2 linked regions of the Neurospora crassa OR74A genome follow. The protein of the gene in region 2 purifies or fractionates together with the protein of the main gene of each other region. This does not show direct contact. Links are inferred from orthologs where the notes say so. Each region holds a gene or a part of one and is shown on either strand. Other genes may lie near its edges.

Region 1 (4,014 bases), on a different chromosome or scaffold from region 2:
GACCACGTCAGGGGCCGTGAGCGTATACTATTCCCTCGCTGCGACGACGTGCGGTGGTGGCACCAACTCTTCAACCGGACGGATGATGAGATGAATGGCGACCTCAATGCCTTGGCCGCAACAGCAGAGCGTGTTGCTGCGTATCAGCAAGCTTCGTCGTCATCAGAGCTTTCAAGGCCTGTCGATGCGGGTACGATTGATGTGAACAGCAACCCACCATCGTCCGGCGCCCCATCGCGGACATCGGTAAGCCCCACCCGGAGCCCGCTGCCGCCGGGCTTGGCAGCTACCGCGGCCGGAGGGTCCGTGCATGCAGGCGTGGAGTCGGCCCACGAGGTTCTGACGCCCGGGACTAGAAGTCCGGCGCCACCAAACCGGAATGTCGCCGCTGGAGATCCTACGGGCACTTTTGCAGCTCTTCAGGAGAGGATTTCCGGATTGTCGCTTGGAAAGGCTATGTTTGGCGGCGGCACCGGTGGGAGCACAGGGCGAAGTTCGATTGGAGGATCTGGCTCTGATTCCGGGCGGAATTCGCAAAACGAACTGGCGGAGCAGGAGATGAAGAGTATGAGTTAGATGAGTGGTGAAGAATGTTGGAGAAAGAGTAGAATAATATGTGGGCAATTGGTTCCCGTTATGAGAATAGCACGTTGGAACAGCATGCTCCCTGATGAAGCAAGGTTAGCGATGCTTTAGTTGCAGTAATGCCTGACTTTATAAGACAGCAAAATATGAACAGCATACATTCCCAAACCAGTATCAGTATTAACATGTGATGATGTTTTAGTGAGTCAGAATTGGAATACGTGATGTTGTAACAACTCACCTTAGGCTGTAACAAGGCAGTTAGTTGGTGTTAAACATTCTCCCCTTCTTGCATCTTGATGGCTGTTGCCATTCTTCCGGAGCTGTAGCACCTCCTTTTTATGTCAGTCTGCAGTGTTTTCCAACAACCTGACCTCACGAAGAAATGTAAGTTGAACAGAAAGAGCGGCTTACGTCGCGAGTTGGAAGCGAAAGAAGTGGTTCATTGATAGAGGTACCTACCTACCTAACTCTCGTGGTGCAGCAAGTAGGTACCTACGTAAGTGGTGCCCGGTGCGCCTTGAGGGGCCACCCCTACGACGGGAACGGGCGGCTACGTCCCAAGCTGAAATGGCGAGTGGCCAGTGCTCCTTCTCAGTTCTCACCCTTGTCCGCCCGGCCCCCGTCATGAACTGGACCCCAGCTTTGCGCGTCAGGTCAATTTGTGTCGAAGACCGGGTCCAGCTGTGTCCCGCCGTTGGTTAGGCGACCTTAAGTGCTGCCCTGCTGCCCTGCTGCCCTGGCTGCTGCTGTTGCTGCTCCTCCTTGTTGCGGCCCTGCGGGGACCACCAAGCTCGCTCCGATCTCCACCTCTAGGTGTAGGTGAGTCCTCCCCCCGAACAGGAACCACCGTCAACCCTCCATCAAGCAACCCTTACCTATTATCAAGCAAAACCGTCCAGTATCATTCCTTCTTTGCCTGCTTGCTGCCCGCCGTGTCGTGGCGCCGTGTGCGAAACTACCTTACTGCTGAGAGATCGCATCCAATTCCGATTTCGACCCGACGAAGCGTCACTCTTGCTTTTTCTTTTTCAACCAAGCAACCAAAACCAACCTAAATACAACAAACCTACCTACCTACCTAGCTGCCCGCCCAAGCAACGCAGTTACCAAGTTGCGCACACGCACGCATCCACTTTCCTCTCTCTACCACAATCACAGTCACTGGTACCGCCGCCGCACAGCGTCGCCCGACCGGCTACCAGTCCAGTCCACACCCCCCCGTCTATTGCATCACGCCCGCAAGCGAACATCCGTACCAAGTCAACCAGTTTGTCCAAATCCGCCTCGCTCGCCGACTGTATACTCCCCCGCGATCTTCCGCGTCCACTTCACAAATCGCCCACAATGGCCGACGCGACGAACGCGAACGACGAGCTCTTCCCCATCGCCGTGCTAATCGACGAATTGAAGGTATGATGGCGGTGACCCGGACGGCCAGAACCCCTGACTATCCCTTCTTGTCTGGTTGATGGACTGTAAACCCTGATTGACTTTGGGCAGCACGACGAGGTCGTCCTCCGATTAAACGCCATCCACCGTCTTTCGACTATCGCCCTTGCTTTGGGTCCCGAGCGCACTCGCGAGGAGCTGATTCCCTTTCTCGATGGTTAGCCAACCCTTCGACCCAGCTTCAGCCTAGCAAACCCACCTGCGCCGGCCTCTGGCTACACAGCCGCTGGGACTCTTGAGATACGGCTGCTGACACTTCTGAATGCAGAATCGGTTGAAGATGAAGATGAGGTCCTCGTTGCCCTGAGTGAAGAGCTTGGTAACTTTGTCGAGTACGTGGGGGGCCCCGCATGGGGACATGTCCTTCTTTCCCCCCTTGAGAACCTCGCTGCTATCGAGGAGCCCGTGGTGCGAGACAAGGTACGGATACGTGACCATTTCCTGGCTTCTTGTCATGCGACCCGCATGTGTACTGACAAACGTTTTAGGCTGTCGAATCATTGAACAAGATCTGCACTCAACTCTCTTCGCAGCAAGTTGAAGAATACTTTATCCCTCTTACGATTCGCCTCTCCAAGGCCGACTGGTTTACGTCCAAGGTTTCCGCATGCGGCCTGTATACAACCCCCTACTCGAAAGTTTCGCCGCCTATTCAAGAACAATTGCGCCAGCAGTTTGGACAGCTCGTCCACGATGAGACCCCCATGGTGCGCCGTCAGGCCGCCACCAACATGGCCAAGTTCGTGAAGGAGATGCCGGCTCCCATCGTTATCGAGGAAATGATACCCATGTTCCAACACCTCGCCCAGGACGACCAGGACAGCGTCAGACTCCTTACAGTCGAGATTTTGATCTCTATTGCGGAGGTTGTGCCCAAAGAGCAACAAGCCAGCCACACCGTGCTCCTCACATCGCTACGCAGCTTGATAGAGGACAAGAGTTGGAGGGTCCGCTATATGATCGCCGACAGATTTGAGAAGGTTCGTGGTCGCGCTAAGCACTTGGCCTCCCCTCATATCAATTCTTGGATGACTAACAGCACATACAGATTGCGAAGGCGGTTGATGATGAGGTTGTGTCCAGAGATCTTGTTCCTGCATTCGTAAAACTCCTGAAAGATAACGAGGCTGAGGTGCGGACTGCCATCGCCGGCCAGATCCCTGGCTTCTGTGCTTTGGTTGACCGCAACGTTCTCCTGAATGACATCATGGGAAGTGTTGAGGATCTCGTCTCGGATAGCTCCCAGCATGTCAGAGCTGCCCTTGGCACACAAATCAGCGGCCTCGCTCCTATCTTGGGCAAGCAAGAGTACGTTCCCGCAGTCAGACACGGTTTCTTTGATGCGTATGCTAATTATTGCACAAGGACTATTGATCATCTTCTGCCCATGTTCCTTCAGATGCTCAAGGACGAGTTCCCAGAGGTTCGCCTTCACATCATCAGCAAACTGGAGCTTGTGAACCAAGTTATCGGCATCGACCTCCTTTCTCAGTCTCTCCTTCCGGCCATTGTACAGCTAGCCGAAGATAAGCAGTGGCGTGTACGCTTGGCTATTATCGACTACATCCCGCTTCTTGCCAGCCAGCTGGGCGTCAAGTTTTTTGACGAGAAGCTCAGCCAGCTTTGCATGGGCTGGCTCGGAGATACTGTTTTCTCCATTCGTGAGGCCGCTACTCAAAACCTAAGGAAGCTGACCGAGGTGTTTGGTGTTGAGTGGGCAAGCGAGGCTATTATTCCCAAGGTTATGGCTATGGGTGCCCACCCCAACTACCTTTACCGGATGACCACTTGCTTTGCTATCACGGTAAGAGACTCAATGGCATACGAAAATCAGTGAAGTCCCTGTCTGACTAGTGTTTACAGACCCTGGCTACCGTTGTCAGTCTGGATGTGATTGCCAAGTCCATCCTTCCGATGCTGGAAAAGCTCACAGCCGATTCGATCCCCAATATTCGCTTTAACGTCGCAAAGACATAT
Region 2 (3,849 bases):
GGCCCATTCTGAGAGCTAAAATGAGGAAATGAAACGTGTTACCTTTGAACCTTCCCGTCCCCAATCTCCCGGGTGGCAGAGAAGTTGGTCCGAGTAAGGGATTGCCAATGTTGACTGTGATCGACCTCAATAAAGATGATCGCATCGAAAGCCCTCAACTGCGTCCTCGATAAAAGCCCGTAGAGGACATGACCAAGACATGTTGCGATGATATCGCGCAAGATGTCCCGTCATGATTCCCATACACCGTCCCATCGTTGGCTGCCTCGGTGGACAGCAAGACCATGAATGCCTTCCTCCCTGTGACCAGATACTACTCGTCGATCAACTCCTGAACTGCAATCCAAGGCAGCCAACTCTGGGGCTCGATGAGCTTCGAGCTTGAACGCCAGTGAAAGAGTAGGCATATGAAGCATAAAAAAAAGAAATAACCTCGGGCTCAGTCCAACCGAGGCCTCGCCAGAGAGGACAGGGACAACGCTTTGAAAGGCAGTGAAGCCTCAGACTACGCCAGAAAGCAACACTGGACTTTGGCGTCTTGGTCCTGGGAATCTGGCCAGCAATCAATAGACAGAATGAACAGAAAAAGCAGAAAAAGCCATCAGATACAAAGTGTGGACCGAAAAGCCCGGAACTATTGGCAGAAGAGCGCCGAATCAAACCAATGTGTCCGTTGACACAGCTGAAGGATGGGAAAGTGAGTTCGCCGAGATATCTTCAGAGGTGGCCGCGGACGCAGCAAAGCAGCAGAAGCGCAAGAGAGAGGAGCAGGGAAAGGAATTTGTGAGGGTCCAAGTTGGAAGAGAGGAGGGAGACCGCTGGCTTTTGTATGAACCGGTTACCAAGTGGGGCACAAGCACCCAGTCCCTTCCAGCACGTGTGAGGCCGTGAGTGATGGGGAGCCGGGGATTCAGGGCGTCAAGAACCTGGGCCGCTGGGCGAGCTGCCGCACGGGCCTTTTCAGTGACGGGCCGGGATGACGGGCGGTTTCCCAGCTGTCTGCAGTGCTTTCCACTCATGTTGCCAGCTGAGTGTCGAGGAACCGTCAACACTCAGCGCAGCTGGCCCGAATGAGGGCACGTCACCTCGTCAGCAGCAGCAGCCCACCTGGGGCACCTCCAGGGCACTGCAGAAGGGAGGGCAGGTGCAGCGCGTCGAGCCTCCTTGGATTCGCTAGGAAGGAAAGGCTTCAGCACTCGGGATTGCGCTTCTCCCTCGGCTTCCTCAGTCAGCAACAAAAACACACGTCGCCTTCATTTCCACCTCAGTACAGACTGTACAGTACCAAATTCAGATGGAAAGTTGTATTCCTGCTAGGCCGCTTGCGACTGCTCTCTCAGAATCCGTATAGCACATTTCTTCCCTCCCAACTTTCAGTTTTGATTTTTTTTTCTAAAGCAAACTGAAGCTGAGCTGTCCCATCACCAAGTGACTGGAGGATTGCGCTCCGTCGTCTGCTGAAGCTCTTTTGCCCCGTTCGATGTGACAATAACCACCTCTTCGAACATGTTGATTCGCATCTATCCAACCACCACCACTGACATCGCTCGAGCTGGGAGAAGCACTACCAGCCTTTACCGCAACTCGTGATTGCTGAGCCTGTCGACACAACACTACCAACTGCAAAACGTGTCTAAGTTGTGTTTTTAGCGCCGTTCCATTGATCCTACTACACGAGAGCATCATCTCTGCCCGTCATGCCTGGCCTTCCCCGTAAGTTGGTCCATTGCACCCTTTGCGCCACCAACGTTGAAAAGCAGCGGACAAGGCCATGCCCCTCCTCTTCTTGCCCATCCCACGCCCCGCCAAAAAAGACACCGACAAACCCCCAACATAAATTCAACGGCGCAGACATACCACAACCACTGACATGTGACGTGCCGAATAGCTTCGGTCGACCTCGACGAGTGTATCTCACGCCTCTACAAAAAGGAACTACTCGCTGAATCGGTTATCGAAGCGATATGCGCCAAAACAAAAGAGCTGCTAATGCGCGAGAGCAATGTCGTGCATGTTCGCGCCCCCGTTACGGTTGTCGGTGACATCCACGGCCAGTTCTATGATTTGATAGAGATATTCAGGATCGGTGGCTACTGTCCAGACACGAATTATCTATTTCTAGGTGGGTGGTGATCTTGGTGGTGGTGATGGAAGCAAGACGCGGGCGGCGCGTGCCCTCCATGCGGGTGCTGTGCTAAAATGACGACGTTTGACTAACCTTGGGAGAAAAACAACAGGCGACTATGTCGACCGAGGCATGTTCAGCGTCGAAACGATTTCTCTTCTTGTTTGTTTAAAACTGAGATACCCCAACCGCGTCCATTTGATTCGAGGCAACCACGAGTCCCGCGGCGTAACGCAGTCTTACGGCTTTTATACCGAGTGCTCGCGCAAGTACGGCAATGCCAATGTCTGGCATTACTTTACCGACATGTTCGATTTCCTCACATTAAGTGTGGTCATCAACGACCAAATATTCTGTGTACACGGAGGTAAGATACCCCCTTTCTGGGCGCCAGGTGTACAAGCTAGTTGCTAAACCTCTTCTTCCGCGCCAGGTCTCTCCCCTTCGATTCACTCTATCGACCAAATTAAAGTAATCGACCGCTTCCGCGAGATTCCCCACGAAGGCCCCATGGCCGACCTAGTATGGTCCGATCCCGATCCCGACCGCGACGAGTTCAGTTTATCACCCCGCGGCGCTGGCTACACTTTCGGAGCGCAGGTGGTTAAGAAGTTCCTGGCGGTGAACAACATGAACCACATTCTGCGCGCGCACCAGCTCTGTCAGGAAGGGTATCAGGTGCTATACGACGACCGGCTGAGCACGGTATGGAGCGCGCCCAACTACTGCTACCGGTGCGGAAACATGGCAAGTGTCTTGGAGGTCAGCGATACTGGAGAGCGCTTCTTCAATGTGTTTGCGGCCGCTCCTGAGAACGACGCCGTTAAGGATCAGCAGATGAATCAGGACAAGTCGGCGGAGGGGGGCGCATTGCCGGATTACTTTTTGTAATAGTCGGCGAGAGACGGGAAACCCCCCTACATGGTGCGCACTCGGGGCGAATGGGGATAGAGGACGGGAACAGAGAGCATGAGCGTTGCGGATGGTCTTGGCTTGAACTTGTTCGCACCAAAGAGTGTGAATACACTGCATATACCCACGCTAGCGACCGCAATGTCATAGATTAGAAGCAGGCATGAATGATAGAGGTACTCGGGACAGTTTTTTTTTTTTCTTCTCCTCTACTAACAAGTAAGCCCTCCCGATCTTCTTCATAGCAGATAAGAGAAACCGCAAGACCTGAATTGCGTATGTGAGAGTTATGTGTGTTTATACTACTAAGATAAGATGATGTGTATGTATGTAGATAAATGTAAGGAAGTTTTCTCCTCTTCCCCTTCCCTCCTGCCCGGAAAGGGGGGCGTATACCCTAAACGACCAAACCATCCTGTGGCCCAGATTCCGTTCCGTTCCGTTCGCTTGCCTTTCCAGTCCCATACCTAGATAAGGTGAAACAGACGTCGGTGTGTTTCTACCTTCCTTTCCCTTGTCGAGTTCCGGTAGTGTAGTGTATCTTTCTCCCTGTTTCGTGATCTTCGAAACAGGGAGGAAGCGCGTGTTTAGTCTTCTTTCCCCACTCAGCATGATTAATTCCATCTTCATCCTCTATCGAGTTCGCTCCTCGTTCGCGAATGGCGCATCCCTCTTTGCCCACGAAATCAACCGAGGGCACAGCAGTTCGTCACAGTATGCCAACAGCGAAGTGTATGTGTGTGTGTATCCGATGCGGCTGACTAGCTGGACTGAGTGACCGGCTAGCTTATAGGGCGAGAAACTAGACGACG

What was found. The genes of interacting proteins can lie anywhere in the genome.
Region 1: the proteins of pp2A (region 2) and NCU00488 purify together in Saccharomyces cerevisiae (affinity purification with mass spectrometry; 5 studies listed by BioGRID, with this or other methods). This does not show direct contact. The link is inferred for Neurospora crassa OR74A from reciprocal best matches to the Saccharomyces cerevisiae genes PPG1 and TPD3.

What each region holds. Positions count from the first base shown.
Region 1 is NC_026503.1:4,029,607-4,033,620, reverse strand, and holds the start of NCU00488 (protein phosphatase PP2A regulatory subunit A), read left to right. Parts: upstream 1-1,207; 5' UTR 1,208-1,932; coding exon 1,933-1,998; intron 1,999-2,088; coding exon 2,089-2,194; intron 2,195-2,305; coding exon 2,306-2,457; intron 2,458-2,525; coding exon 2,526-3,017; intron 3,018-3,085; coding exon 3,086-3,345; intron 3,346-3,402; coding exon 3,403-3,841; intron 3,842-3,900; coding exon 3,901-4,014. Other genes in the region: NCU11185 (protein phosphatase), read left to right, coding at 1-576. UniProt on the Saccharomyces cerevisiae protein: Phosphatase 2A affects a variety of biological processes in the cell such as transcription, cell cycle progression and cellular morphogenesis, and provides an initial identification of critical substrates for this phosphatase.
Region 2 is NC_026504.1:1,636,526-1,640,374, reverse strand, and holds pp2A (serine/threonine-protein phosphatase PP2A catalytic subunit), read left to right. Parts: upstream 1-1,189; 5' UTR 1,190-1,697; coding exon 1,698-1,713; intron 1,714-1,888; coding exon 1,889-2,122; intron 2,123-2,237; coding exon 2,238-2,492; intron 2,493-2,558; coding exon 2,559-3,016; 3' UTR 3,017-3,304; downstream 3,305-3,849. UniProt on the Saccharomyces cerevisiae protein: Involved in glycogen accumulation.